Linked DNA regions of Pelodiscus sinensis. The protein of the gene in region 2 purifies or fractionates together with the protein of the main gene of each other region. This does not show direct contact. Links are inferred from orthologs where the notes say so. Each region holds a gene or a part of one and is shown on either strand. Other genes may lie near its edges.

The links.
Region 1: the proteins of EXOSC4 (region 2) and HBS1L purify together in Homo sapiens (affinity purification with mass spectrometry; 3 studies listed by BioGRID and IntAct, with this or other methods). This does not show direct contact. The link is inferred for Pelodiscus sinensis from reciprocal best matches to the Homo sapiens genes EXOSC4 and HBS1L.
Region 3: the proteins of EXOSC4 (region 2) and EXOSC10 purify together in Homo sapiens (affinity purification with mass spectrometry; 9 studies listed by BioGRID and IntAct, with this or other methods). This does not show direct contact. The link is inferred for Pelodiscus sinensis from reciprocal best matches to the Homo sapiens genes EXOSC4 and EXOSC10.

The regions. Positions count from the first base shown.
Region 1 is NC_134713.1:96,327,932-96,338,192, forward strand, and holds the start of HBS1L (HBS1-like protein), read right to left. Parts: upstream 5,535-10,261; 5' UTR 5,420-5,534; coding exon 5,377-5,419; intron 4,988-5,376; exon of another isoform or gene 4,859-4,987; intron 1-4,858. UniProt on the Homo sapiens protein: GTPase component of the Pelota-HBS1L complex, a complex that recognizes stalled ribosomes and triggers the No-Go Decay (NGD) pathway.
Region 2 is NW_027465833.1:41,192-51,452, reverse strand, and holds EXOSC4 (exosome complex component RRP41), read left to right. Parts: upstream 1-5,755; 5' UTR 5,756-5,805; coding exon 5,806-5,976; intron 5,977-6,406; coding exon 6,407-6,613; intron 6,614-7,548; coding exon 7,549-7,908; 3' UTR 7,909-8,347; downstream 8,348-10,261. UniProt on the Homo sapiens protein: Non-catalytic component of the RNA exosome complex which has 3'->5' exoribonuclease activity and participates in a multitude of cellular RNA processing and degradation events.
Region 3 is NC_134733.1:11,594,091-11,604,351, reverse strand, and holds the start of EXOSC10 (exosome complex component 10), read right to left. Parts: upstream 5,403-10,261; 5' UTR 5,369-5,402; coding exon 5,216-5,368; intron 5,053-5,215; exon of another isoform or gene 3,758-5,052; coding exon of another isoform or gene 3,653-3,757; intron 3,110-3,652; coding exon 2,973-3,109; intron 2,463-2,972; coding exon 2,339-2,462; intron 495-2,338; coding exon 390-494; intron 66-389; coding exon 1-65. Other genes in the region: serine/threonine-protein kinase mTOR, read right to left, coding at 8,574-8,589, 9,287-9,392. UniProt on the Homo sapiens protein: Catalytic component of the RNA exosome complex which has 3'->5' exoribonuclease activity and participates in a multitude of cellular RNA processing and degradation events.

The DNA.
Region 1 (10,261 bases), on a different chromosome or scaffold from region 2:
GACAGGGTGAAGAGGGCAGGGTCTGGAAGAGTTTGGCAGCAGGAGAGGGGGTGGAGTGGGGATATGAGTACAAGGGGGAATTTGGGGGTGGGAGTAACGCAGAAAAGGCAAGAGGGTGAGAATGCAGCCACATCAGTTGGGGAGGAAGGCAAAGAAGTGGGGAAATAAAGGAAAATGCAACTTCTGCAAAGAAAAATTGTATTCCCCTCCTCCGCATCTCTCTACTCCAGCCTCACTCCCCTCAGCCCATGGTCCCTGCCCAAGCTGATCCCCTGCATCATCCCATTCCCCTCATTGCAACCCTTGCCCCTCCCATCCTGCCCCTGCATCCTCCTTACCCATACATCCCTGTGCTCCCAGCACACTCACCGGCAGGGCAGCAGCGCTGGGATTCACAGCCCCCCAGGAGCAGCACTAGGGTAATGAGGGGCTAGGGGGTGGAGGTGGCAGAGTCACTTCCCTGCCTGGCACAGCCCTTTGCCAGGGCTTGCCCCTGACCTGCAGCTCCGGGGCTGGGGCAAGCAGAGCCCGAGGCTGATTCCAGAACAGCCAGGCATAGGAAGATGCTGGGGAAGGGGCTCCCCGCACCCCGCACACACCCTACGGGGAGCAGCGCCGTGCACACCCCACAGGGAGTGGCCCTGCACTCCATGTGTGACCAGCTACCTAGCTCAGATCTGTAGAGCAGCCCCAATCCCACCCTCCCACTGCAAGAGGCAGAGCCTGAAGCACTGGGAGCAAGATTAATCCCATAGTTCCCGGTAGCTGCACGCCCAGGCCCTGGACCCTATGCAGTGCACCTCTCCCATCCTGCCCCTCTTCCTCCCACAGCAGGAAGCCGGAGCTGGTGTTCCAGCCTGTAGCTGCACGGCAATCCTGAGGCTAGCGGGGCTGAGCTCCCACCCCACATGCCACAGAAAATCAGCTCGTGTGCCACTTACGGCACGTGCTGTAGGCTGTAGTCCAATGGTACTCTCTTGTCTGAAATACTGCCTTCAGTCCTGGCCACATCTCAGGGTACAGCAGAAACAGAATAGGTTGAAAGAAGAACCAAAGCAGCGGGGGAGGGGTGAAGAGGAGGGAAGGGACCAACCAGAGGCCTGGAAGACTTCTGTATAATGAGAGCTTGAAAAGACTGGGACTTTTTCCTTTTAACAGGAGACAATAAATGGGCTATATAAAGATTAAAACATGATAAATAGTATAGTGCTGATAAATTGTATGCTCTATTTATCTCTTTCATAATGAAAAATCAAAGCACATTCACTGACCTTGAAAGTCAAAAAAATTAATTTTTTTTAAATTAAGCATACTAATTAACCAGTGGAACTCATTGAAAAAATATCAAGGATGTGAGTTTAGCAGGATTCAGACGTATACATGTATAATAAGCACATTATCTCTATAGAGAATGTAACATAGTTACATTAAATAGAGAAAAATAGAAAAGGTATGAATTGTCATGCTTCACAGCATAAACCAGGTATTAAGAAGCTTCTCTTATAAACTTGTTATTTGCTGGTTATCTACCTTGGAATTGCCCACATCTTCTTTTGAAGTATTCGATACTGGATACAGGCTGCTAAAGGCAAGATACTGAACTAGACAGATGGATCACTGGTATGATCTCTTATGGTAATTCTTGTGTTCCTATCATTCCCAGATAAACAACAGGTATATCAATTTTTACATAAATACAAAATCTAAAACTAGGGATGTAAGTGACTAGTCGACAACCCAATAAGTCTAGGCTTATTGGGTAACTGAGTCACTACTCAACTAGTTGCTTCCTACCCCTTTCTTCCTGCCTCTTTATCAGAGGCACCCATTGAGGGGGCAGAGCAGGAGCTAGTGCTGGGAGGAGTCAGCTTAAAATCTGTTCCCCCCAGCACCGTCCCCGTGGGAGGGTAGGGGAGGCAGAGAAGCAGCGGGAGAAACATTGCAAGCAGGGACCAAAGCAGTCCCACTTGCGTGGGGTCCCAAATGCTGCACTAGGGATGTTAAATTTAGATTAACTAATTGAATAGTCAATGGGATTTCCATCGATTTTTCCTGCTGGGCTCTTGCTACAGTTCAAAAGAGGAAGTCCCGCAGGGAGTGCAGGGTCAGCAGGGGACTGGCCCAGAGATCCCTGCAGCTCCTGAGCCTTTGAAATGTACAAAAGCCACTGTGGGGCTCTTGTACATTTCAGAAGGAAGCACTGCAGAGAGCGGGGTACCAGCAGGGACTCCCCCACTGGCCCTGTGCTCCCTGCAGAGCTTCTGCTTTTGAAAAGCAGAAATGCAAAAGTGGCACAAGTGAAGACTGCTTCAGACACCACTCGCGCGGTTTCCAACTGTGCCTCTACCTCCTCTGCCACCCGCATCGATTGTGCTGGGGGGAAACCGGCTTTTAAGCTGGCTCCCCTCAGCATTGGCTCTGCTCCTCGCCCCCTTGCCACCTCTCTCTGATAGAGGCAGCAAGGGGGGGATGAGGAGAAGCAACTAGTCGCATCACTAGTCAACTATCCGATACACTTCTGCTTATCCGATAGTCAACTAGTCACTTACATTCCACTGCACCTATCCCTTTGAAATGTACAAGAGTCGTGGGCCGCTCTTGTATATTTCAAAGGACGAGGCACAGTGGGATAGCAAGCACCCTCCACCCTTTATCAACTAATCAAGTAGTCGATGGAAATTCCATCAACTACTCGATTAGCTGATTAATCAAAATTTAATATCCATACCTAAAACAAAATTGTATTACACCCCCAAAAATAGTATTGATCTTCTCTTTGGACATTGCCAGATGTATTTATAAATAAGTGTGGCAATTATTACTATATCCATTTTAGCCACTGAAAAATTATTCCCCCTCCTTTTGTATTTATGAGTTTTAATTGTAGAGGATAGAGGAAGAACAGCAAAATTATTAAAAAGAAAAACTACCCACAATAACTCATATGGAATCATACCAGTACAAGCATGGTTTGATTTTTCACTGAAGGAGATGCATTTTCTCCTTTTGTTTTCCCAATTTTTCCCAAGTCAGCATAGCTATAGCAGAGGTACAATGATGAGCAAGCTAGTGAAAGCACAAGTGACTGCCTGTGATTTAGCCATGACATCATTAGATATGCACTAACACTCCACCATGGCTATTCCTGGCAGAGCTAACGCAGTGAGATTAACGTCAGCAAAATTTTGGACAAAAACGAGGAAATACATATTAGATGTGTAAATGGTCTTTCTTGTTCCTAATTTCAGTGAACTAACCACCTTTGCTGTAGGAATGCAAGATCTGATATGCCCTGTCCAGCACTAGAAGTGATTTCATTTTATTTACTGATACAAACATAGAAAATTGCATCATCAACCGAAAACATAAACTCATACCAAAACTTTATGGTACAGGCAACATGTCTCTATAATGTATGTCTCTCTGGATGTATATTTATACTTATGTGTACAGACATATACATACACACAGAACAAATTTAGATACAACATGAATTGTAGACTAAGTTTCTGGTGTACATAAGATGGCCATTATACACAGATAGCAATTAAAGGCTCCAATCCAGCAAACACTTATGCAAATAACTTTAGCTGCATAAGCAGTGTAGTCTGAATGAAAAGGATTAATCATGTGCAGAACTACTCATTTGTGTTTGAAGGATAGGGACCCAAGTTTTTAACAGGAAACTGAAAACCACTTATAAGTAGGGACATTTGTAGATCTTAACCCTAATACAGAATAGGTGAAATTGATTTAATTTTCAAAGGGTGAAATAATCAAGCAGAGAACACCCATGTCTATTTTAGGTTAATTTTCACCAGTGAGCCAAACTCCTAGGCTGTGTCTAGACTGGCAAGTTTTTCCACAAAACCATCTGCTTTTGCGGAAAAACTTGCCAGCTGTCTACACTGGCCGCTTGAATTTCCGGAAAAGCACTGATGATCTCATGTAAGATTGTCAGTGCTTTTGCGGAAATACTATGCTGCTCCCGTTCGTGCAAAAGTCTTTTTCCGAAAAACTTTTGCGCAAAAGGGCCAGTGTAGACAGCAGAGATTTGTTTTCCGCAAAAAAGCCCCAATCGCGAAAACGGCGATCGGAGCTTTTTTGCGGAAAACCACATCTAGATTGGCCACGGATGCTTTTCCGCAAAAAGTGCTTTTGCAGAAAAGCGTCCTGCCAATCTAGATGCACTTTTCCGAAAATGCTTTTAACAGAAAACTTTTCCGTTAAAAGCATTTCCGGAAAATCATGCCAGTGTAGACGTAGCCCTAATGTAGATGTTGGATTAATGAAGTGTTGCTTTCATTCGTGTAGTTTAATAAACCCTAATAGTACAAACCCCATTTTACATGAGTGCAATATATCTACATTGAGGTGACTGGATTACTATAGCTACGCTGGTGAAAAATAAGGAAAAGATCTTAGTGACCTGAGTTTCTTGTAATAACACAACTGGAAGATAAACTGATACAAATTAGACCTAAACTACTATGAGGAGCTACACACCCTGGTTAAAGAGAGGTGCAAAATCAATATTTCAAATCACTGATAAGTGAGCTCCTAAGTAAATGAGACAGAATATCAAAGAACGCTAGTATATCCAGCTAAGCTACTCTGACACAGGAGCTGGTAATAATATAGTTATACGAAGGCAAACATAAGATACACAGAGCCTTAAACATTTCCATCTTAAGACAAAGTGTCTAGAAACCAGCTGCTCTATTACCGGCCCTACAAATCCCCTCTTTTCCTGCCTGCCCAAGAGCAACAGGCCGCCTGGATGGATGGGTCGGGTGGTTGTGACGTCACGCGCGGTGCCGGGAAACACGCGGAACACGCAGCGCCCAGCCGCCGGGCTGGGGGGAAACAAGCTTGTCCGCAGTAGGTGGGAAGGGAGCGCTGCCCGCTGGGGACGCAGCCAGTTTCCAAGAGAGCAGAAAGCAGTAAGGTCCTTCCCCCCCCACCTCGTCAACCCCTGCCAGATGAGGTGCTTTTAAAATGCTTTTCTACTTCTTTAGTATCCCCCCCCGCCGCCGCCGCGCTGTGAAAGCCCCGCGCAGAGTGGGGATGGGTGAGCTGCAAGGGAAGGAGTTAAACCCACGCGCCTCGCACGGCGCTTCGTAAACAAGCCCTGCCTGGGCACTGGAAGGGAAACAGCCCCCTCCCATGGGGCCCAGTAAGCCCCCATCCCAGCTCCTCCTCCCCAGGGCCTAACCCCCTCACACACGCTGCTGCCCCCTGGGGCCCGGCCCATGGCCTGGCGGGGACGCGGGTCCGCCCCAGGAGACGCGTTCAGGCCGCTGGGGCTGCCAGGCCGGACCGAGGGGCAGCTACTCGGAGAGACCGGGGACAGGAAAGGCGGAGGCGTCTCGCTACCTTCGTCGTAGTTATAGCCTCGGACGTTCCTGTGCCGCGACATGGCGGCGGCGGCGTCGCTCGCACTCGGTGGCGCTGGTGGCCGCAGCCTTACGCCGCCATCTTGGTCTCCGCCTGGCCGCTCCGAATCGCTGTGCGCAGGCGCAAAACACCCCCCCCCCCGCGCTCCTTTAGTGTCTGCGCATGCGCCGCCGGTCGGGCCAACCAAGGTGGTGCGCCGAGTGCGAGTTTTCCCCTGCCCAATGTCGCGTCAGCGCTCGCGCCTCCCGCCCTGCCCCGCGGTCCCTCCCCAGCCCGGTCACCCCCTCACCAGCGCCGCGCTCTCTGCGCCTCCCCACGCGCCAGTCCCAGCCACGCCCTGCCCCGGGCCCCTGCCTGCGCCGCACCCCAGTAACCAGGCTCTGGCCACGGCGTCCCGCCCGCGCTTCCTTCTGCACACACTGGCCATGCCCATCCTCCCCAGACTGGCCCAGCTGTGCCGCTGCCCTGACACCCTTGTCATCAGTGCCCCCCCCAGTACCTCACTGGCATTCATACTGACAATCAGATGAATGGCATTGTTCAAGGACGTAGGTGTGTCACATTGCTGAGTTAGGTATCTGTGTCCGCCTAACTTTGGTGTAGACCAGGGGTCTCCAAACTTTTCAGCCCGAGGGCCGCATTAACTATCAAACAGCAGTTCGGGGCCGACTGCACACTTGAGGTCCAAATAAAAAACAATCAAAACATGGATGTTGTTTTTAATTATTTATTTAATATTATTTTATTCAGTTATTATTTAATAACACATTCATACACTACACATGAACACCTGTATTAGTGTGAATGGTGAAATTGTTTCCTGGATGCCAAAATAGCAGACATTTCTGGCTTTAGATTTGTTGTCCCTAACATCAACAGTGACCTGAGATTATCATCGGACAAGTTTGTTCTCAAATTGTTCTTCACGTATTTCATTCTTGAAAATGTTTGTTCACACAGGTATGTTGTTCCAAAGATTGAAAGGTACATTGATGCAAAAGTTTTGACATTAGGAAAGTCTTCCTTGGGCAAAAACTGGTAAAAACCCACCAGTCCTATTTTGAACTTGTCCCTAAGGAGGTCATTTGCTTGCAACTCAATGACTTCCAGCTGCAGTTCATCTGGGCAACTGGCCACATCTGCTTCAAATGGGTTTTGAAACAATCTCACTTCTTCTGCCTTTGAATCCAAAAAGGTCTCCACGGGCCGGATGAGAGGGCCTCGCGGGCCGCATCCGGCCCCCGGGCCGTAGTTTGGAGACCCCTGGTGTAGACCAAGCTAAAGGTGTCCGCCTAACAGCAAAGAATACAAATGAAGATTGTCAAGCCACCGGTCATGTGCAATGTGATACAAGTTGAATTTCTCTAGTCCTGCACACTCTGGTCTGGCAACATTAGTAAAATCTTGCTGACGTCCACTTACGTGAGTAGCCAACTTTCCCACGGTCCCATAAAGTTTTCACCCACCAGTCCTGGCTCTCAGTGTTCTGTGTTGTTATTTAGCACTAATTTACCCCTAAATGTCTTCTAAGAGCCCTGTAAGCAGTGGAAGTGTTGGCAATGCTGCTAGACAATATTGAACCCCCCCCCCCCCCATGATATGACAAATTTTCTAGTTTAACACCAATCGGGACCTAAGGGTACCACACTAAAGAGATTTAAACTGTAGCAGCAATTTGAGCACTATGAGGCTACGTCTACATTGGCAAGGTTTTGCGCAAATACTTATAACGCAGGAGTTTTTGCATTAAAGTATTTGCGCAACAGAGCGTCTACATTGGCATGTGCCTTTGTGCAAGAGATGTGCTTTTGCGCAAAAGCATCCGTGCCAGTCAGTTGGACGGAGGCATGGGCGAGCCGGGCAGCTCCCAGGGCGCCAACCGATGAGAGGCACTTGATGGTGTCCCTTACAGCTGCCATCAGGAGTTGCGCGCCCGGCTCCCACAGCACTGACCTGCCTGCATCCCCACGGCACCAGCCAGCAGCGCCCTTCCTCCCATGGCTGTCGGGCCCTGCCAGAGGCCGTGGCCGGTATGCGCATGCGCCCTGCACCCAGGAGCGGCACCGCGCACCTGGGCTGAGGGCACCAAAAGGGCTCGGGCCGGCCCTGGTGCCAGTGTTGATGCTCTCTTGCGCAAAAAAGCTCCAACGGCCATTTTAGCCATTGGGCTTTCTTGCACAAGAAATTAACGTTGCCTGTCTACACTGGCCTCTTGAGCAAGAACAGTTGCACAAGAGGGCTTATCCCTGAGCGGGAGCATCAGAGTATTTGCGCAAGAAACACTGATTTTAGACATTAGAACGTCAGTGTTCTTGCGCAAGTACTCGCAGCCAGTGTAGACAGGTGGCAAGATTTTGCACAAAAGCAGCTGCTTTTGCGGAAAATCTTGCCAATGTAGACACAGCCTGACAGTATCCTGCCTATCTGCCTTCAACATCTTTAGCCTAAAGATAGTGCCTCTTGAGGTGAAAAAGTTCATTCTCTATAATCATTCAGACCCTACTCCCTTCACTGAGACTGCCTTAAAAAGATATTTCTTATGTAAAGATATATGTACTAGGAACTGAATTGAGACAACCAATCTATTTCTCAGAGGCTAAACAACCAGCAGATAGTAATAACTTTGGTTATCATCAAGTGGCTGATCTGAACTGTTGACCTAGAAGTATCCAAAACCCATCAGTAATCATCTGTCTTCCAGCTTCCTGTGTTAGTACATTTAAAAAAAAATTAATTATCATTTAATGAAACATTTCAAAACTATTTACACATTTTAAGGAATAAAGCTTCTGGATAGTGATTTTTTTTTGTGTAGTTCTCTTTCAGTATGTTTACATTACATTCCTCCTTTGAGAGAGGAATGCAAATGCAGACAAACAAAACTGCAAATGAAGCGTGGATTTGAATTTCCCATGCTTCATTTGCATAATTGCAGCCTGCCACTTTTCCAAAATACTGTATTTCAAGAAAAAAACTGGGTTATTTCTAAAAGAAATCCTTCCTTCAAAATAATCCTTACTCTTTAAAAATGAGGTTTAAGGGTTATTTCAAAGGAAGGGTTTCTTTTCGAAATAACCACTTTTTCCCCTCGTAATATGATATTTCGGAAAAACGGCTGGCTGCAATTATGCAAATGATGCGCGGGAAATTAAAATTTACGCTTCATTTCCAATTTCGTTTGTCTGCATTTGCATTCCTCTCTTGAAGGAGGAATGCAACATAGACATACCCTTTTTGACCAGTAAAATGTCTTCTGGGAATCTCATAACACATTTTCAAAAGAACCTCTTTTCTATTCACTTTATATAATTCCCAGTCCTCAGAAGATTCACAGCAAGATTATTCAGTAAGTCAACTGTGCTTAAATGGCTAACAAGGCCTTTAGTTTTCTGAACAGGAACAATTTTATGAAATACTGTAGCGGCTGCCTTTTTCTACTTGCTTGTAGTGGGAGAACAGTCCCCAATCATATACACGTTGCTCAGCTTCGTAACTGTCTAAAAAGCTTTAGGTATCAATACTCTATACAGAATAGTGATAGAAATGTAGCCGTGTTAGTCTGGGGTAGCTGAAGCAAAATGCAGGACAATGTAGCACTTTAAAGACTAACAAGATGAGCTTTCGTGGGCCAGACCCACTTCCTCAGATCAAATAGTGGAAGAAAATAGTCACAACCATATATACCAAAGGATACAATTAAAAAAAATGAACACATATGAAAAGGACAAATCACATTTCAGAACAGGAGGGGAATGCAGGGCGGGGGGAGGAAGGAAGGTAAGTGTCTGTGAATTGACGATATTAGAGGTGGGGAGAGTGGGATGTTTGTGAGTTAATGGTATTAGAGGTGATAATTGGGAAAGCTATCTTGATAATGTGTAAGATAGTTCAAGTGATACTCTATACAGAGATTGTACTTAAACACTACTTCGTTTAAAACTACAACTAAACAGAGCATGGTTTGGAGAAAGTTAATTCCAGGTGACATAGTGTGTCACTTTTGGGTTAACTTTTAAAATAGAGTGTCAATGTCACTGTGTCAGACCGGGCCGTGTCTGGGCACAGCTGAGGGCGTCCGCTCAGGGTGAATTGCTCGAATCCGGGGCTCCTTACAGCCCCCCGACTGGTGACCTCTCCACACAGGCCACAAACCAGTCCCACAGAGCGCTTCAGCAGCCTGCCTGAAGCCTCACGAGCAAAACCCCTCCGACACCCCAGCAATAACCGTGCCCCAGATGGCCCCAGACCTCATACACAGGTGGGGGGTCCTAGCACCCAATCCCACCTACCCCGAACAAGTTCTGTCCGGTTCCAGGAAACCAGCCACAGATCTGTGGCCAATTTATCCCTTGGACCTTACCCACAAATCACACTGGGCCAATCCTTTAGCATCTAACAACTAAAGGTTTATTAACACAAGAAAGAAAAGCATGAGAGTAAGGTTATTAAAGTACAGTACGTTACATGCGCCGAATCTCCCAGTTCTCGGTGCAGGCTCTAGCAGAGATGTTGCAGCTGCTGGTTTAAAAGTTCTTATTGCGCATCCTAAGATCAGGATGGGTCCACAGGTCTTTCAGGCCCTTCAATCCCTGCAATGCTGCCTCTGGGATGAAGTGCTGAGCTCAAGCCAAAATGGCATTGACCACATGGCCTCTTTATACCCCCTTCCTGGCCTCTTCTGGTCTCAGTCGGTCTTCTGGTCCTCAGCCTCTCTCTGCTGGCAGCTCTTAGGTCTCGGCCCTCATGCTTTAGGTGTGTCCTTGGCCCATCAAGTGCCATTGTTCCACAGGGCTTCGCTACTCAGCCTGTCCATAGCAATGCTTAATCACATTCAGAGAAATATTCAGCTTCCACACAGATTACA
Region 2 (10,261 bases):
CCCAGCTTGGGGAGGGGGGGCTGTGGGCCCCGGCCCCCCATCCTGCCCCAAGCCAGCCAGACTCCCCCACCCCCAGCAGCCCAGCTAAGTCCCTCCAGCCCCACCTCTGCCCACTTTCCTGGGCCAAAGGTGTCTCTTGGGCGCACCTCCCTCCCAGGCCCAGGCTAGTGAGCCTGCCTATTATCTGTGTGATGGGCTGCACATCCTGCCTCAGTGGGCCACACCCCAAATCCCCCATCCCCATCTAAATAGTAATGCAGGGCCCAGGGAAACCGAGGCACACACACAGGGTTACTCCGGGACAGCAGAAGTCACATGCAACACAACAAGCAAACAGAGCGAATACAAGCCCCACCCCATGCTGTATGAAACTGTCCTGTGTACACAAATGTGCATAACTCGGGGATGCATTGGACAAAACAGCTCATGTAACCGATCAATGTTAATGTCAGTCTGCTGGCTCTGTGTGTCTTATTCTGGTGTACGTGTGGTTCTCGTACTAACATCACAACTGCGAGGTGTGAAAGCAAGTGGCAACTCAGCTCCAGAAACCTTGGGTCCTTGGAAACAGCCTTGTTTTGTCTCAAGCTAGATCAAGGATGTTAAGTAATAGTTCATTTACTAGTCGAGTAGTGTCATGTTACTGGATTGTGAGGGGAGCGGCCAGGTCACTGGTACACCCATGGGGTGGGGGTGTTTGCCCCAAAAAGTGATACAAAGGGGGCCATGCGAGGCGTCAAATGAAAGCTCATCTTCTACTGATTCCATAGATGCTATTCATGTGATTGTATAATGTCTGTGTGTGATGTTATAAGCATGGACTTTGTGTGGATACCGAACGTTTCTCTGTATGTGGCTGAGCAATGGGCAAAGCAGCTCAGCCTAGGGACCTGCTAATGAGCAAGTCTCCGTGGAACAATAGCCCTCCACAGGCCAAGGACACACCCCAAGAATGCTCAACTCTTCATCCTAGATGCAGCATTGCAGGGATCAACGAGCTGGAAAGAACTGTGGACCCGTCTGCACAGAGGATGTGCACCAAGGACTTTTAAGCCAGCAGTTATAACATCTCTGCTAGAGCCTGCATCGAGAACTGGGAGATTCGATGCATGGAATGTAGGATACTTTAACAACCTCACTCTCGGGCTTTTCTTTCTCTTAGTAATAAACCTTTAGGGTGCATCTAGACTGGCAAGATTTTGCACAAAATCATGCCAGTCTAGACGCAGCCTTAGATTTTAGATTCTAAAGGATTGGCTCAGCTTCTAGACTGGCTGTGTCTAGACTGGCATGAGTTTGCGCAAATACCTTTAATGGAAAAGTTTTTCCATTAAAAGTATTTGCGCAAGAGAGCGTCTACACTGGTATGTGCCTTTGCGCAAAAGATTTGCTTTTGCGCAAAAGCATCCGTGCTAGTGTAGACGCTCTCTTGCGCAAGAAAGTTCTGATGGCCATTTTAGCCATCGGGCTTTCTTGCACAAGAAATTAATGTGGCTGTCTACACTGGCCTCTTACGCAAGAGGGCTTATCCCTGAGCAGGAGCATCGGAGTATTTGCACAAGAACCACTGATTTTATACATTACAAAGTCAGTGTTCTTGCGCAAATACTTGTGGCCAGTGTAGCCGCACCCAGAATGTAAATTGACCAGGGATCTGCGGCTGGTTTCTTGGAACTGGACAGAACTTGTTTGGGGTAGGTGGGATTGGGTCCTAAACCCCCTCACCTGTGAATGAGGGCGGGGCCATCTAGGGCATGGATATTGCTGGGGTATTGGAGGGGTTTTGTTCGTGAGGCTTCTGACTGGCCAGGCAAGCAACTGAAGTGCTCTATGCAACTGGTTTGGGAAGGTCTCCAGGCTGGGGGCAATAGAGGGCCCCAAATTTGAGCAATTCGCCCTGAGCGGATGCCCTCAGCGGTGCCCAGACACGGCCTGGTCCGTCACAAGTAGTCAATGGAATTTCCTTAACTACTTGACTAGTTGATAGGAACTTCCGGATTCCTCCTTTGAAATGTACAGGAGGCTCCACCCCCGGGACCTCTTGTATATGTCAGAGGCCTGTGGAATCCGTGTGCAGCCTATGGCCAGTGGGAGTCCTGTTGACTCTGGGCTGCCCAGGGGTGCCAGCTTTGAAATGTACAAGAGTCCCCAGCAGGGGATGCAGAGTCCTGAGCTGGCCCCGGCTCCATGCGCCACTGCCACTTTGAAATGCTACGGGGAGCGGGGGTCAGCTGACCCCGGGCGCTGCTCTTTGAAGCACCCGCCTCCCACCCTTTGCTGCCAGGCTACGGCTACATTGGCAAGATTTTGCACAAATACTTTTAATGCAAGAGTTCTTGTGCAAGAGCGTGTCTACGCTGGCACGTGCCTTTGCACAAGAGACGTGCTTTTGTGCAAGAGCATCCGTGCCAGTGCCGACGCTCTCGTCCGCAAGAACGCTCCAGGGGCCGTTTCAGCCACCGGGCTTCCTGCCCCAAGGAATTCCTGTTGCCTCCTGCGCCAGAGCAGCGGGGCCGGGGCCGGATCCCTGAGCGGGGCCGGGGCCGGATCCCTGAGCGGGGCAGGGGCCTGATCCCTGAGCGGGGCAGGGGCCTGATCCCTGAGCGGGGCCGGGGCCTGATCCCTGAGCGGGGGCAGGGGCCTGATCCCTGAGCGGGGCCGGGGCCTGATCCCTGAGCGGGGGCAGGGGCCGGATCCCTGAGCGGGGCAGGGGCCTGATCCCTGAGCGGGGGCAGGGGCCTGATCCCTGAGCGGGGGCAGGGGCCTGATCCCTGAGCGGGGCAGGGGCCGGATCCCTGAGCGGGGCAGGGGCCTGATCCCTGAGCGGGGGCAGGGGCCGGATCCCTGAGCGGGGGCAGGGGCCGGATCCCTGAGCGGGGCCGGGGCCTGATCCCTGAGCGGGGCCGGGGCCTGATCCCTGAGCGGGGCAGGGGCCGGATCCCTGAGCGGGGCAGGGGCCGGATCCCTGAGCGGGGCAGGGGCCGGATCCCTGAGCGGGGGCAGGGGCCGGATCCCTGAGCGGGGGCAGGGGCCGGATCCCTGAGCGGGGGCAGGGGCCGGATCCCTGAGCGGGGCCGGGGCCGGATCCCTGAGCGGGGCCGGGGCCGGATCCCTGAGCGGGGCCGGGGCCGGATCCCTGAGCGGGGCAGGGGCCTGATCCCTGAGCGGGGGCAGGGGCCTGATCCCTGAGCGGGGCAGGGGCCTGATCCCTGAGCGGGGGCAGGGGCCGGATCCCTGAGCGGGGCCGGGGCCGGATCCCTGAGCGGGGCCGGGGCCGGATCCCTGAGCGGGGCCGGGGCCTGATCCCTGAGCGGGGCCGGGGCCTGATCCCTGAGCGGGGCCGGGGCCTGATCCCTGAGCGGGGCAGGGGCCGGATCCCTGAGCGGGGGCAGGGGCCGGATCCCTGAGCGGGGCAGGGGCCGGATCCCTGAGCGGGGGCAGGGGCCGGATCCCTGAGCGGGGCAGGGGCCGGATCCCTGAGCGGGGCCGGGGCCTGATCCCTGAGCGGGGCCGGGGCCGGATCCCTGAGCGGGGGCAGGGGCCGGATCCCTGAGCGGGGGCAGGGGCCGGATCCCTGAGCGGGGCAGGGGCCGGATCCCTGAGCGGGGCCGGGGCCGGATCCCTGAGCGGGGGCAGGGGCCTGATCCCTGAGCGGGGCAGGGGCCTGATCCCTGAGCGGGGGCAGGGGCCGGATCCCTGAGCGGGGCAGGGGCCTGATCCCTGAGCGGGGGCAGGGGCCTGATCCCTGAGCGGGGCAGGGGCCGGATCCCTGAGCGGGGGCAGGGGCCGGATCCCTGAGCGGGGCCGGGGCCTGATCCCTGAGCGGGGGCAGGGGCCGGATCCCTGAGCGGGGCAGGGCTTGATCCCTGAGCGGGGGCAGGGGCCGGATCCCTGAGCGGGGCCGGGGCCTGATCCCTGAGCGGGGGCAGGGGCCGGATCCCTGAGCGGGGCAGGGGCCTGATCCCTGAGCGGGGGCAGGGGCCGGATCCCTGAGCGGGGCAGGGGCCTGATCCCTGAGCGGGGGCAGGGGCCTGATCCCTGAGCGGGGCCGGGGCCTGATCCCTGAGCGGGGGCAGGGGCCGGATCCCTGAGCGGGGCAGGGCTTGATCCCTGAGCGGGGGCAGGGGCCGGATCCCTGAGCGGGGCCGGGGCCTGATCCCTGAGCGGGGGCAGGGGCCGGATCCCTGAGCGGGGGCAGGGGCCTGATCCCTGAGCGGGGGCAGGGGCCTGATCCCTGAGCGGGGCAGGGGCCTGATCCCTTAGCGGGGGCAGGGGCCGGATCCCTGAGCGGGGCAGGGGCCTGATCCCTGAGCGGGGGCAGGGGCCTGATCCCTGAGCGGGGCAGGGGCCGGATCCCTGAGCGGGGGCAGGGGCCGGATCCCTGAGCGGGGCAGGGGCCTGATCCCTGAGCGGGGGCAGGGGCCGGATCCCTGAGCGGGGCAGGGGCCTGATCCCTGAGCGGGGGCAGGGGCCTGATCCCTGAGCGGGGCCGGGGCCTGATCCCTGAGCGGGGGCAGGGGCCGGATCCCTGAGCGGGGCAGGGCTTGATCCCTGAGCGGGGGCAGGGGCCGGATCCCTGAGCGGGGCCGGGGCCTGATCCCTGAGCGGGGGCAGGGGCCGGATCCCTGAGCGGGGGCAGGGGCCTGATCCCTGAGCGGGGGCAGGGGCCTGATCCCTGAGCGGGGCAGGGGCCTGATCCCTTAGCGGGGGCAGGGGCCGGATCCCTGAGCGGGGCAGGGGCCTGATCCCTGAGCGGGGGCAGGGGCCTGATCCCTGAGCGGGGCAGGGGCCGGATCCCTGAGCGGGGGCAGGGGCCGGATCCCTGAGCGGGGCAGGGGCCTGATCCCTGAGCGGGGGCAGGGGCCTGATCCCTGAGCGGGGCAGGGGCCGGATCCCTGAGCGGGGCAGGGGCCTGATCCCTGAGCGGGGGCAGGGGCCTGATCCCTGAGCGGGGCAGGGGCCGGATCCCTGAGCGGGGCAGGGGCCGGATCCCTGAGCGGGGGCAGGGGCCGGATCCCTGAGCGGGGCAGGGCTTGATCCCTGAGCGGGGGCAGGGCCGCCCTGCGCGAGGAGCCCGGTCCGAGTTCCCGCGCTGGGGCTCCCGCCAGCGCCCACTCGGGCTGAACCTGCCCGTGCAGCCACCCCCCCCCCGTCTGACTGGGGCACCGGCCCCTCCCCCCCCTGCGCGGGGAAACTGAGGCACCAGCAGGCAGGGCCGGGTGGGAAGGCGGAGCGGCACAGACCGGAACACTCGCCCGCCCGCCTGACGGGGCCAGCCGCGAAGGGGGGCGGGAAGGGGCGGGGCCGGGGGCAGGGCAGGGCGCGGGGCAGGCCGGGAAGGGGCGGGGCCGGGGGCCGGGCGCGGGGCAGGCCGGGAAGGGGGCGGGGGCGGGCGCGGGGCAGGCCGGGAAGGGGACGGGCGCGGGGCCGGCCGGGAAGGGGGCGGGGGCGGGCGCGGGGCAGGCCGGGAAGGGGCGGTGCGGGGCCGGGGGCGGTGCAGGCCGGGAAGGGGGCGGGGCCGGGCGCGGGGCAGGCCGGGAAGGGGGCGGTGCGGGGTCGGGCGCGGGGCAGGCCGGGAAGGGGGCGGTGCGGGGCCGGGGGCGGGGCAGGCCGGGAAGGGGGCGGGGCTAGGCGCGGGGCAGGCCGGGAAGGGGGCGGGGCCGGGCGCCGGGCCGGCCGGGAAGGGGGCGGGGCCGGGCGCGGGGCCGGCCGGGAAGGGGCGGAGCCGGGGCCGGGCGCGGGGCAGGCCGGGAAGGGGGCGGGGCCGGGCGCGGGGCAGGCCGGGAAGGGGGCGGGGCCGGGGCCATGGCGGGGCTGGAGCTGCTGTCGGACCAGGGCTACCGCGTGGACGGGCGCCGGGCCGGGGAGCTGCGCAAGGTGCGCGCGCGCATGGGGGTCTTCGCGCAGGCCGACGGCTCCGCCTACATCGAGCAGGGCAACACCAAGGCGCTGGCCGTCGTGTACGGGCCGCACGAGGTGAGCCGGGCCCCCGCCGGAAGCGGCCCCTCCCCCCCCGGGCCTCCCCGCCGGAAGCGGCCCCTCCCCCCGTGTCCCCTCCCCCGCCGGAAGCGGCCCCTGCCCCCCGCGGGCCCCCCCGCCGGAAGCGGCCCCTGCCCCCCGCGACCCCCCGCCGGAAGCGGCCCCCCTTCGGAAACGGGCCCTCCCCCCGCGGGCCCCCCCCTTCGGAAACGGGCCCTCCCCTCGCGGGCTCCTCCCGCCGGAAGCGGCCCCTCCCCCCAGCCCCTTCCTTGCGGAGCCCCGCAGCTCTGCCCGGCGGGGGCGGGGGCGGGGTGACCCCCCCGCGAGCCGCCTCCCCGCCGGGCTTTGGCCCGTGTTCGGGACGAGCGAGTCCGGCCGGGAGCCCCCCCCCGCCCGGCGCTGCAGCCCGCGTGTCCCGCCGTTGCAGATGCGCGGCGCCCGCAGCAAGGCGCTGCACGACCGGGCGCTGGTGAACTGCCAGTACAGCATGGCCACCTTCAGCACGGGCGAGCGCAAGCGCCGGCCCCACGGCGACCGCAAGTCCAGCGAGATGACCCTGCACCTCAAGCAGACCTTCGAGGCGGCCATCCTCACGCGGCTCTACCCCCGCTCCCAGATCGACATCTACGTGCAGGTAGGGGTCACCTAGCGCCCCCCGGCCAGAGGCCTGAACCCCCCCCCGGCCAGGGGCCTGAACCCCCCCCGGCCAGGGGCCTGAACCCCCCCCGGCCAGGGGCCTGTACCCGTAACCCCCCGGCCAGGGGCCTGTACCCGCAACCCCCCGGCCAGGGGCCTGTACCCGCACCCCCCCCACCCCCCGGCCAGGGGCCTGTACCCGCACCCCCCCCACCCCCCGGCCAGGGGCCTGAACCCCCCCCGGCCAGGGGCCTGTACCCGCACCCCCCCCCCCCCCCGGCCAGGGGCCTGCACCCGCACCCCCCCCCCCCGGCCAGGGGCCTGTACCCGCACCCCCCCCCCCCCCCCCGGCCAGGGGCCTGTACCCGCACCCCCCCCCCCCCCCCCGAGCCATGGGCCTGTAGCCGTGGGCTGCTGGCTCTGTGGTTTACCCAGCTCCCCATACGGAGCTGGCAGCTTCCTGGTTTCTGCTGTGCCTGACCCCAGTTGCCTGGAGTAGCTCCCTGGAGTATGGGGGAAGGGGTTTCAAGCCTTGCTCAGTGCTGTGTGGGCCTCACCATGGGGTGACCATGGGACATGAGGAATCATCTGGGCCTTCAGCCAGCTGAGCCATTGGGGAAGGAGGTGGTGACCTGTGTGGGGCGCTTGCTGGCTCCTGCACTAGTGTGGGGAGGTTGTTTGTGTAGCATTCCGGAAGGGATCAGCCATGTGCGTTCTGCTCACTCCCCCACTGGTTCCCTGGGCTGCCTAGACAGCAGTGCCAGGTGAAGGGGCGTCTGCCCAGGGCTTATGTTGTTTCACAAGCCAGTGATGCTGCTTTCTAAGGAGGGTTGTGGGCATGAAAGGTCTAGTCCTGAGCTTTGTGGGGCCAGATGCAGAGTCGCTCAGGTGCAGCCTCCTCTGCTCCCTTTGCTGAGTGCTCTGTCTCCCCAGATCCTGCAGGCAGACGGTGGGAATTACTGTGCTTGTGTGAACGCGGCCACGCTGGCCACCATAGACGCAGGCATCCCCATGCGAGACTATGTGTGCGCCAGCTCTGCCGGCTTCATCGAGGACACGCCCCTGGCTGACCTCAACTACGTGGAGGAGGCAGCTGGGGGCCCCCAAGTGGCTCTGGCCCTGCTGCCTAAGTCGGACCAGATCGCCCTGCTGGAGATGAACTCGCGGCTGCACGAGGACCACCTGGAACAGGTCATCGAGGCTGCCAGCAAGGCCTGCAAGGATGTCTACGCTGTGCTGGACCAGGTGGTGCGTGAGCACGTGCACGAGGTCACCACGCTGCTGGGGGAGTGAGCGCACAGGCCTGTGTGCCTAGAACCAGTGCTGCACGTGACTGTGGGTGGGGACAGGGAGCGCTGCCGTGGCCGCCGCAGGGATCGATTCAGCCAAAGCCCATGCCAACACTGCCCCTTTGTCCAGCTGCTTTGTTCTCCGATGTGCACACTGGGCCCAGGTTGAGCACCTCTGCTGGGCGCTAATATCACATTGGTACATGTGAATGCCCCGCGGCGTCTGTCAAGCCTGGTGTTCCTCGCTGGGTGATGGGCCCTGACATGGCTTCCTGGATCTGTAGCCATGGCTGCTGACTCCTGGGCTGTTGGCCTCTCCCATTCTCCTAGGCGCTGCGAGAGGCTGGGGCGCGTGGCCCGGTGGATAGCTGCTCGATCCGTAGATATCAGTGTCTGTTCCTTTGTAGGGGACTGCTGTAAATAAAACATTGTTTTGGTGGAAATTGTATTGTGTGGGCTACCCCCTGGCTGAGTGCAGGGCAGCAGAGAACCAGTGCTGCTGAAGATACGGCCCATGCGAAGTCTGGCGCGTCCCCAGTGCTGGAGGAGAGATGGGGGCTCTGCTGTACCCGTCTCTATTGTGGCTTGGTCCCTGCCTATGACAGCTCCTAGGAAGACTCCAGCTCACACAGGATTAATCGGGGAACCTCCCCTCCCAGACGTCCCCTCTGCTTGCTCACGCTGCTCCCGGGGCTGGTAGGACGGCTCCCTAGGCACCACAGCCTGCCTGCTGTCACCATCACTCCCTGGCCTGCCAGGCTTCGTGCCAGCAAAGCTGCCAGTGCTTGCTGATTTAGAGGAGATGCTTCTGGTGCAAGGCCAGTGGCCTAAGCTGGTCTGGGAAAGCCATTCCCAGGTGACCAGTAGCCTAAGCCCCGAGCTTCCCCAGCACCCATCTGCCCAGAGGAGCAAGGCCAGGGGAAATCCTGATCCAGAGAGGTCGCTCAAAAGCTTCTCTTCCACCAGCAGCAGCGGGTCTGACATGAGAGATTTCCTCTTCCATCTTCTCTTTGCGAGACCTGAAGTATCGATGCCCCAGCTGCTGGCACCCTTTAATACGGCGTTCCTCTGGAAATGGCTGCTAGGTGGTACCAGGCCGAGCCGTCATGATCCCTCACTGTACCATGAGCAGGGTGAGCCTCTGCCTGGTTCCCTGCCCTTGGGCATGGCAGCGCTAAAAGCATTCAGGCAGGTCATGGGGACTGGCGTTTCCATCCTGGCACAGCCTGGCTGGTGCAGTAGCTTAGGGGGGAACTTACCCACCACGCTCTCAGTACATGGAACAGGCTGCAGGGCAGGGAGCTTAGCCCCACTTTGGGCATCCTGGGGGGGACAGACCCGCCACCACAATTTGTCACTTGAGGCCCATGCCTCCTCGCATCAGTTACCACCCACGCTTGCCTTCCTGTGGGGTCCCCTCTCCACAGTGAGAGCAACCTGGGCCCTGCAGCGGACGCTTCACACCAGCTGGGCATGGGGGGGGGCTGAGCAGTGGGGCTCCCTGTCCATTGGTCTGGCCCAACTCTGGCTTTATTCTTGGAGCACTAGCAGCTTGGGGGGCAAGAGCTGTCTGCGTTCTGATTGGTCCTCTGCCTCACCCAGTGGGGGCCAGGCACATGGTGGGATCTTGGCTGCTGCTTCAAAGCTAACAATGGGGAGCCTAGGCACGCGGTGAGTAGCTGGGCTGGTCCCGCCTGGCCTCTAGCCTTGGGAAGGGAGGGAGGGAGGGCTAGTGGTTACAAGGGTGGGAGTGTGAGGGGACAGGGTGGGAGCCAGGACTCAGGGTGTGCTCAGTGGTGGGCCTGTTTGTAATGAGACTTATCGTTATTTGTACGGTAACATCGGGGGGGCCTGGTCAGGCTCAGGACCATAGTGTGTTTAGCACCGCCTGGCCTGCTCCTGTGGTGTCTTGGCTGAAGGTCCTTTCCTCTCGCTGGCTGCGGCCCCTCTCGCAGTGGGGCCAAGAAGCCTGTGCCCCTTGGCCAAGGGATGTGGGGACAGGAAGCACCGACAGGTGGCTGGGTGGGAGTGCGCACCACAGGTGTGAGCCCTCCCCCCCACATGCCCCTCCCTGCACACACCCCGCTCCCTGGGTGCACCCTGCCCCCTGCCTGCACCCCCACCCTCCTCCCTGCACACACCCCGCCCCCTCCCTGCACACACCCCGCCCCCTGCCTGCACCCCCACCTTCCTCCCTGCACACACCCCGCCTCCTCCCTGCACACACCCCGCCCCCTGCCTGCACCCCCACCTTCCTCCCTGCACACACCCTGCCCCCTGCCTGCACCCCCACCTTCCTCCCTGCACACACCCCGCCTCCTCCCTGCACACACCCCGCCCCCTGCCTGCACCCCCAC
Region 3 (10,261 bases), on a different chromosome or scaffold from region 2:
CGAGTGATATTCTTGGCATGTAGCAATCGGAAGATTTCAGACTTTGTTCTGTGGGATTCTCCACTCTGTTTAAAAAACAACGTATCTGAATGGATTTTGAGATAGTCTATTAAGACTTGCCTATATGCATCTGAATATTAAGCTCAGACAAAAACTCTCCTGAAACTAGGACACAGTATCTAAGGCCTATACACCAGCATCTAAATTAGGTGCCCCCAGGGACCTGACATCAGATTAAAGAGATCTATGGGCATAAAGTGTAGATTCGAAACCAGGGGATCCTGAATCTGGAGTAAAGAGAGGCTACTGAACTCCTAACTACCATCACAACTCAAAGTCTAAATAAAAAGCTCAAATTAATTAAAATCAATTTACTGTAGAAGTTTCACCTTGCGGTTCCAACTGGAAATGATCGTCTTTGGGACTTGCATCCCTGCAGGAAGGATAGGTTGCTGGTTCTTGTTCACTCCTGCTGCTTCATCTAGTAAAATACCCTGAAATTTGGGAAAAGAAGTATAAGCAAAACTGTATGAAACATCTAGTAGTTGGCAGTCTGCCCTGCCTGAAAGAAGAGAAATGTGCAGCTGTCGCCATGTTCATCTCCTTGGAATTTTGTAATGGGCAAGAGTGGCCAAAGGCTAAATATGAAATCCTAATGTTAGAGACTGGGAGAAGCAATTGCCAAAGAATCAAAGTTGAATTTCTTCAGAGATATTTATGTGCTGATCACCCTACTTCCATACTTTCCTCTCGTATCTTACTCTACACTCTGCCCGGTTTTGAGATAGGCTAATACAGAGTTAATCTTGCATCTAATTTGCTTTTCAAAACATGATAAGTAAACAGCTCTCAGCCATGCTGAGAAATTAACCATTATTATAATAGAGGTGGCACCATTATTATTATTATTATAGTGGCTGAGGCACTGGTCTGGGAGTCAGGAACCCGCCCCCCCTTTTATATGATAGCAGCATCTAGTAACCCCAACTGATATCAGGCACATATCATTCTAGGCACAGCATAGGCAAATCATAAGAGCGTCCTTGACCCAAAAAGCTGATAGTTTAAATAGATAAAAGGTTGTAAGGAAAGCTGAGGCCCACAAAAGTAATATGATTTGCTCGAGGTCACACCACACGTTAATGGCAATGCCAGAAATAGACTTGGAGTGCTGGATTCCCAGCCCCAGATCACATGGCATTTCTTAAGCATGTTTCACACTCACTTTGCACAAGCATAAAGATTGCATGAGGTTCCAGACAGCAGAGAATAAAATTGTGGGAGGCTACAGTACCATAGCCGAATGTGCCATTACTGAGGTCTAGGAAGCGCTGATTTAGATCTCTGGTTTAAGAGACTTTACTTTTGAATGCAAGTGGCACTGTGGACTCAGCCACATGGTCAATTTAATCAGCTACCAATCTGTTCTTCTTTATGGTTGGGGTAACTATTCCAGCTCCCTTGCTCTCTTGGAGTAGTTATGGAACATCTATTCTGGCAGATGTACACAAGCAGCCTTCTCTCTCGTTTGCAATGGAAATGTTTGTTTGACTATGTCTGGTGTTTAGGAACAGTTGCAGCCCTGATTTCTATTCTTTCTGCTGTGTGACCTAGAGCAGTGGTCCCCAACGTGGTGCCTGAGGGTGCCATGGCGCCCGTCAGGCCATTTCTGTGCACCCGCTGAGTGATGGGGCCAGCCCCGGCCCTGGGCACGTGGTGCATGGGCAGTGCCAGCCCCTGGGCACATGGCTCAGGAGTGGCACTTGCCCCAGGAGTGCGGCGCATGGATGGTGCTGGCACTGGGCACGCGGCGTATGGGCGGCCCCGGCCCCATAGTGTGCAGCTTTGGGTGGCCCCGCCCCCGGGCCTCCGGCACGGCCCCAAAAGGTTGGGGACCACTGACCTAGAGAAATCACGTGTTCTCTCTGTGTCTCTGCTTTCCCTTCCACCATTTGCCTTTCTTATTTAGACAGTAAGTTTTCCAGCCAAGGGGCAGTTTAGCTGTATGTACAGCACATAATACAATGGGTCCCAATATCTATTGGTGTCCTTTGGTGCTACTGTCATACAAGTAAGCATTCTTGCTCAGTTCCACCCTACTGCTGATTAGAAATGTAGAAAAAAAAATGATAGCTCAGAAAAATAACTTCCCATTGGATTTAATTTTTTTTTAAACTAGAGATATCTAAAAGAGTTACTAGAAGAGGAAAAAAAACGTTAAAAATGGAAGTCTGAGAATGAGGAACAAAGTGTAATTACTAAATATTGCCATTCCAAATCCTATAGAAAGCAGGATCTACTGAATCATTACAAGATTAAAAAAAGAAAGTTCTCTCACCACTTTTTCAAGAATTACATCATTGGAATCGACCAGCAAATCAAATTTATCTTCCAGCTCTGTTGCTTTGTTATGATCTTTCACGTGACTCCGACAACCATGATATTGCATCACCTTGCTCATACTAATAAAACAATAGTTCAGTTACTCTTTAAATGACATTAAAAGCAGGTATTCTGAAAACTGGTGTTATTTGTTAAGATCCTTTCTGAGCTCTGGCTACTCCGAGACTTACAAAATCAGACACAGACTCCTTAGATACTGTTGTAAGAACTTTGAAAATGAGAAGCTATGAGTAAGTACTAAGTATTGCTATTAATTTCTTTACTGGGTCTATGGAACTTAGATTGGGTCTTCTGGTTAAAAAGTCACCTTTCCATCAGCCCATACCTACTCAGTGGCGCACCTAAATTGTTACAGTTACTTTACAGAGGTAAAATGAATGACTCCATTTTTATTGTTACCATTTAAATTTCATGAATCAGAAAAGCAGCTGACGTTTTTAAAAAGCAACAGAAAAATTGTAATAAAAATGCTCATATATTGTTTTATTTTGAAATTTGCAAAGAAGAGACTTCTCTGTTCCCTAACACAGATTTTCACCACTGGCATAAGAAAGCTAAAAAGTCCTTACCAGTGAAGCAGCCTATCACCTTGTGTTTCACAGTATGCCCGGAATCCAGGAAAGCTGCGATAGAAGTCATATTCATCTCCAGGCTGAGGTAGCCCATTAGATGCTTTAGTTGCAGCGACCACTGTGCCAAGCGCATGCTGTTAAAAAGCATCACACCAAGAAAATATAATTCCACAATGTATTTTCATTTTTTGATGATCTTGCCAGATGAACACCTTCCTCGCACTTACATTACTATTACAATCTCATTCCTCGCACTTACATTACTATTCCTAAACCAAGCCACAACTAGGCCTTTTTAACCAAGAGTGTTTACAACTATTTCATCCTGACTTAATTAAACTAATACTAAAAAAATAAAAGAAAAACCTTACACCGAAGATATTTTGATTTAATAAAAATATGGGTATAATGGCTACAACTTCAGAACTAGGAAGTGCTGTCTCTAAGGTGGGGGGGGATTTCTCAAATGTCATTGCACTGTGAACCCTTTCTGAACTGAAACCTGAATCCACCCAAGTCCCACCACCATAGGTTTTGGCCCTGGATGGTAGGGCTCAGGGCTGAAGCAAGTCTAAGCCAACCCTGGTGACCACATTAAAATGGGCTTGTGACCCATAGTTTGAGAACCATTGCTCTAGGCCATATCTAGACTATAAAATTAAATCAATCTAACTTACACTGGTACACAACTGCTGGAATAATTGCATCGCTTGTGCATGTTTACACTTTGCTCCTTGTGTTACTGGTGCATTTGTATAGATTTTACTGTCACTGTGAAGCATTTAGGGAAGCTAGTAACAGTCTATACAATAATGTCATGTGTACACTGTTACTGAATCAATGTAACTACATTAATTTTGATTCTATGCTACTAAGTGGTGAAATTATTGGGGCAGTTAAGTTGGCAGGAGTGAAAGTCTGGACACTTTCATGGTTAGGTCAATGTAAGATGCCTTGCATCAATCTAAACTCTGTTGTGTAGACCTTGTGTAGCTCAGATTTTGGTCTATAAGGTGCATGGGTGAGGGAACATGTAGGAATTAAGTTTGTAGTGATGGCAACACTATGGTTTGTAAATCAATTTGTAGAACACTCTGTCAAGCTTCAGTTAACAATTCCTTTTAAAAGTTCATCTATATGCTAAAATTAAGGTCTAACGGTTGAACACATTTTGAAAGCCATTCTTGCTGTACCATAGTGATAATTTAAGAATACAGAGAATCCCACCACACCAGTGCTGCCAAATTTGTGGGTTTCTTCTGAATTTTTCCTGTTAAGACAAATAACTAAATTTAAGGATGCTTTCAGCACCACAGCCCATTCATGAGCTACTACAGGTGTTTATGTCCTATTTATCTCACCACCATGATTCTAGTTCTCCAGACTCCCCTGCAGGGAATGCCTTAGCTCAGTGTTTGAGAAAGGCTGCGGAGCCCCAGGGCTCTGCAAGGTTGACAAACTGGAAACATCGATAGGTACAACACATACAATCAGTGGACCGCTGGGGCTCCGCATAAATTTTTACACATGTAAAGGGCTCCGGAGCCGAAGACGTTTGAGAACCGCTGCCGTGGCTAATTTGAAAGGTTATGCGGACAACTTCCCAGGAATGGGAAGACAGTGCGATATTCGGAAAACAGGAGACTGCAGCCGGGGCCCACACAGACAACAGGCCCGCGTGCACGACGCTAGTCCCAGGGCCCGCGGCTCGCACCGCTTCATTTAACAGGCCTGCAAACGTGACACAAGTCAGGCCAGTGGGCTGCAGGGGCCCCCCTCTCCCAGGGCAAAAGGAGCTAAGGCGGCGGCGCCCAGACACCGGGAGGCCGTATCGGAGAGGGAGGGGCGGGCAGACAGGAGCTGTGGGGGGGGGGGGGGGGTAAGGTCCGTCACAGCTCCAGAGGCTGCTGCAGCAGCGGGGCCGAACCCCCACGCAGTCGCCCCAGGCTCCCCCTGCCTCCTCCGCGCAGCCGCGATGGGTGGCCCAGGCGCAGCGGCGGGCTCAGGGTCACTGCTCCCGGCCCCGCTTCCCCTCAGAGCGAGGGCCCCGGGGCGGCAGGGCCATCCTCCATGACCCGGCAAAGAGAATGCTGGGAAATCCAGTGCAGGCAGCTTCCCCTCAGGCTTCAGCATCAGCAGGGTGGGGGGAGGGAAGGAACTACAGTTCCCGGCATGCCCCGCTGCAGGGTTTGCCGCAGAGCAGGCTGGGAGTAGTAGTCTGCAGCGACTCCTTCACGCACCTTGACGAAGGAGTCAGCATCCCTGAACCCCGGTAGAACGGTATCTGGGCAGCCGCCCGGCGGCTCCTCCGTGCTGCCGCCACTCCCCGCGTCTATTAGCTGGCTCGTCTTAACGGCTGCGCTGCGACTCCCGCCTCCGCCGGCAGCCGCCATCTTCCGCGCGGTCCCACGTGACGCGTCAATGGCTTAGTCTCGCGATAACTGAACCGGAAAAAGGGTGGGGGGAGTGTGTATGGTGGAAGTGTTGCTAGACGCATGCGCATTGAGGTGTGGGCGGCAGACTTGCAGGGTCCCTGCCTAAGAGCGGTAGCGATGCAGCCGTGTTAGTCTGGTCTAGAGCGAGCGAGGGTCCTGGAGCGCCCCTTGCGGCGTGTTCCGGGGGCGCTCAGCCCAGCACTGGCTATACGCCACCCTCCCCCCCATTTGAGCTCAGCCACTCTCGGCCTAAGCCAAAGCCGCTGTGACCTGGGGAGTAGGGCAGGTGCCCGTCTGGCTGAGCTCCAGGAGCCCCTACTGCCGGCTGCCCCACCTGCGGCCCTCGGGCAGCGAGCCTGTCCCGTACCACGCCTCCCTCTGGGCAGCAGCTTGGCTGCACCTTGGAGGGTGTCCACGCTGCTCCCCATCGGGAGGGCTTAAGCCCTTTCTGTAAATGGACATTTCCTGCGACAACCCGGTCTAATCTTGACCAGGCTGCAGCCTGACATAAGGGCACGCGGGTGAGCTGGCTTTGATTCCTGGAGTTTTCTGTACAGGTTAGATGCGTGGCACACACTTCAGTCTACCAGCAGATGGAGACTACACCTCAGCTTCTTACCAGTGACATTCCTCCACCAGTATACAATCTTGGGGAGCTGGTTCTCTCAAAGCAGGAATGATGAAGATTAAAACAGGTGAAACTTTTTTTCCCTATCCCTGTCCAGACACTTGGACTGTGTCTAGACTGCATCCCTTTTCCGTAAAAGGGATGCAAATTAGACACATCGCAATTGCAAATGAAGGGGGGATTTAAATGTTTAGATGCCATATTCCTTATTTTAATAGGAATAAGGGATCTTTCTGAAAAGGCTTTATTTTCCGAAAGATCCGTGTCTAGACTGGTGCTTTTTTCCGGCAAAGCTCTGAGCCGGAAAAAAGCGGCAGTTATGTTTATGCAAATGAAGCGGGGGAGATTTAAATTTACGGAAAAGGGATGCAGTCTAGCCACAGCCTTGGTATTTCCCATATATTTCTGTGGCTAGTGTAGTATTGGATACAAAATGATAATGGATCTTTCTAACCTTAGCATCTTCGAATCTGTATCAATAGAAAATGTTTGCTAAGAAGAAACAGCATAACCACCATCCCTTCCCCATATACACCACAATGATAAGATTAAAATTCTATGTACTTGGTCTCTCAGAATCAGTTTCTTGTAACGAGAAAAAAATGCCCCAAAAGCTAGAATAAAGAAACTTTATTCTTACCAAATTACAGTCCACTTAAGAACATTGTTTTAGTTTCCAGCAAGAGAAGGATATTGGCTTTTGAGAGGAGCTGTTATAGAAAGACCTGGAGAATAGGATGGGTGCAGAAGATCACCAATGCGGAATTATGTAGGAAGATATAGCTGAAAGAGAACCTACTGCAGAAAGTTATACAACGGAAGTTACAGCTATTCGGGCAAATCTGCAGAATGAACGACGAGCGAAAAGTTAAGACCCCGGTATTCAGCATAATGGATGGTCCGAATAGGAGAGGCAGACCCCACAGAGAATGGGTAGATTATATAGTAAAATGGTGCGGAGCTAGTCTACAGAAGCTAAGCCACTCCGCACTGGACAGGGAAAGATGGAAGGAAATAGTGAGGGAGGCATTGGACACCAACGGGCACTGAGCCCATGGTTATTGTTGATGATGAAACGCAACTAAGTTTATTAACAGTTAAACTCCTTTGATAAAGGTACCCCAAGTTTTTTAGTGATACCCCATACTCTGCCAACCGTGTTTGTGGCTCCTGTAGGTTTCTGCTATGGGTTCTCAAACTTCATTGCACTCCAATCTCCTTCTGACAATAAAAATTACTGCACAACCCTAGGAGAAAGGACCAAAATCTGATCCCCATTGCCCCAGGTCCATAGGCCAAAAACAAAGCCCTAGGGCTTCAGCCCCAGAGAGGACACCTGTTACTGCAGCTGCACCACCCAGGGCTAAAGTCCTTATAAGCTTTGTCCCTGGGCAGTGGGCCTCAGGCTTTGTTTTCGGCCCCAGCAAGTCTTCATGTCAGGCCTGGTGACCCCATTAAACCAGGTTCAGGACCCATAGTTTGAGAACCGCTGTCTAATGTAATACCTTTGTGTCTCAGTTGTGCTCTCCACAAGAAATGCTTTGGAATAACCAAAATCCAGTCAATCTTTTAACATTTTGGTGTATTTTATTGACACAAAAATATTCAAATACAACATGGCATCTAAACATGGCTACGCTTTTGTATTTTGTGCATTTTAATATGTTTTATTAATAAATCATAACTTTATTTACCTTCACCCTCATGTTTAATATGCATTATTCTTCATTTCCAGGTATGACCAGTTCTCCCTTCTGCTTTTTGTGCTGAGTATTCAGTTTTCCCTAATTATTTCCCAGCACTGCTTTTCAGTCTGCCAGTGTGGGAAGTTCCCAAGTGATATTCTGATTTACCTTGCCATCTACCCTCTTTCTTTGAGACATTCTGCTCTGACTGGCTCAGAGGCTTTGACCCTGGATCTATCTCTATATTTCACATCTGAAATGTGCTAGATAAATCACCCCTGGAGTCAGACACACATCTTTCAACTACAATCCCTTCCCTCTGTTTTTGGTGAGAGTACAGAGTTTTGGGAAAGGTGAGATAATGGGGTAATACTGACAAAAAACCTCCTCCTTCTTCTTGCTCTCTACCTTCCAGCTCTGTCCCACACTTAAATGTGCATTCTCGCATGAGGGCACTGAGTTCACTGCAGCCACGCCAAAAGGACTGACCTGGGAATGATTCAGCTGCAAATATTTTAGTATAGTTACATTGTAAGTCAAGTCAAAACCCGTATTTTGTTATTTGTAATGGATCACCAGTTCCTCAAAGACCAAGTGAACCAGGTATTTGTGGTCTAGTCAGTCTTCATTGTTCTGGAAACCCAAATCAAGTCTTGTGTTTCATATAACTTGTGTTTTTCAACAGCAGCTATGAATTGGCTTAAACCAACATTTAATATACAATAACTCTTAATTTACATTTTGAAATATATGACAGGCTGTATTTCAGTCCAAGATTTCAGTTTGTAGAAGAATATATCTGGAGTGCAAAAGCCTCCAAGAAAGGCTGAGGATACTCTGGAATCTTCTGTTACCAAAAAGGACACCTAAAGATGACAAATGTAATACTTTAAGTGCAGTCTTAGCCATTGCTCCATAAAAACAAAGACTATGTTAAAAAGAACTTAGGTCCCCAATGTCCAGGAACCTTTCTAAAATAACAAGGACACTGAAAATGGGATATGAGACAGAAAATGCTTCTTAATCCCTAACATTCCTAATGTCTGTAATCCCCCCCAAATCGCCCACCAGGATTCATAATTTGCATACAATTTACAGTTAAATCTCAGAAAGATGAAGGCATTGTGAAAGTGTGCTTGTTGACATTAGACTCTGTAATTTCCCTCCTATAACTAGCAATTGGTGATCTACATACAATAGGAACATCTTGTTTCAAATGATTAAAAATTCTGAGTTGATCATCATTTAAATAAGCCCCTTTTCTTTAGTAGCAGACTGCTTGCCTGCTTACGGGCAGTGCCCGCGGTGATGATTCTAAATCAAATTTCCATTTTGCTAGATTTAACAAATCTAACTAATTTGCATTTTGTTAGATTTAATATAATGGTCACAAAAGTTTACAAGCTTACATACAATATCTCCCCAGCCATCCTCAGAATGATTATTGAGATAAACCTAATAATATTTTACTTGACTGTTCTCCATTCCATAAACTCATACCACTATTTATTTCAGAGAAATGGGAGAGAAGATTTTGAAAGGACAGTTTAAAGACAGACTCACCATCCAATGTAGCACTGGCAGAGATTCTCATGCGAAGTAGCTTGCTTAATAAGCAATTCTACTTGCGTGGGTACATCCAGAGTTTCATCGTGAGAGAAGTCTCGGCCTTTACAATTAAAGTGAAAAAAAAAAAAACCATTAAAGAAGGATGTAATCCAAATTACATAGTTTAGTTTGGGTGGCAAGTTGTGGAGCGATATGAAGATGACCCTCTCTCCTCTTATAAATATATATTTGTCACAGAATTATTCAAAGATGACACCTCAAAATCCATACTGAATCTATTTTGAAACCTTTAGAACACTAGTGTTTTCGATGATCCATCACAGCAGCTTCTCTATCCCCACCTTCTTCAAAATAAAAAAGTAATACTGTTCTCCACTGTACTTATTATAAATTCCTAGTAGAAGGAATCAACTGCCTAGCTACATTAAGTACCTAATTCAAGTAGTTCTTACATATGTCATTAAGAACGGTCTCATCTAAATTTTTCCAGTTGCAAAGCCAATAAAAGGAAGCCAGTTGCTGGAAATTTGATTTCAAATCATCACCTAAAAGATGAACCTGTCATATCTGAGCCACATTAAATAAAATTACATCTACATTTTCCAAAAACGATTGTTTTCCAGAGTACAAATTATAAAGCCCACATATCTTACACTGATCTGCAGACAGGGTGACAAGCAAAGTATAAAAATAGCTCTGTCCAAGTAAGAAACAGAATAATTTGAAATAAAATTGATGAACTAGCATAAAACTGAAATATGCTAGTGCCAGGCAAGCATTTAAACTTGAACATAATTCTAATGTCTGTAGTATCTGTTTACACTAGATTTTCCCATCCATGTACAAAATAAAGTTATGTGCACCAAGGCATGTGCAGATGGGCACTGCTAATAGAAACACAAGCTGCTGGCTGTAGAAGCTGTGGGCCCTCTGCTCATCAGCTGGACAGCATTGGAATCACCCTTGGGC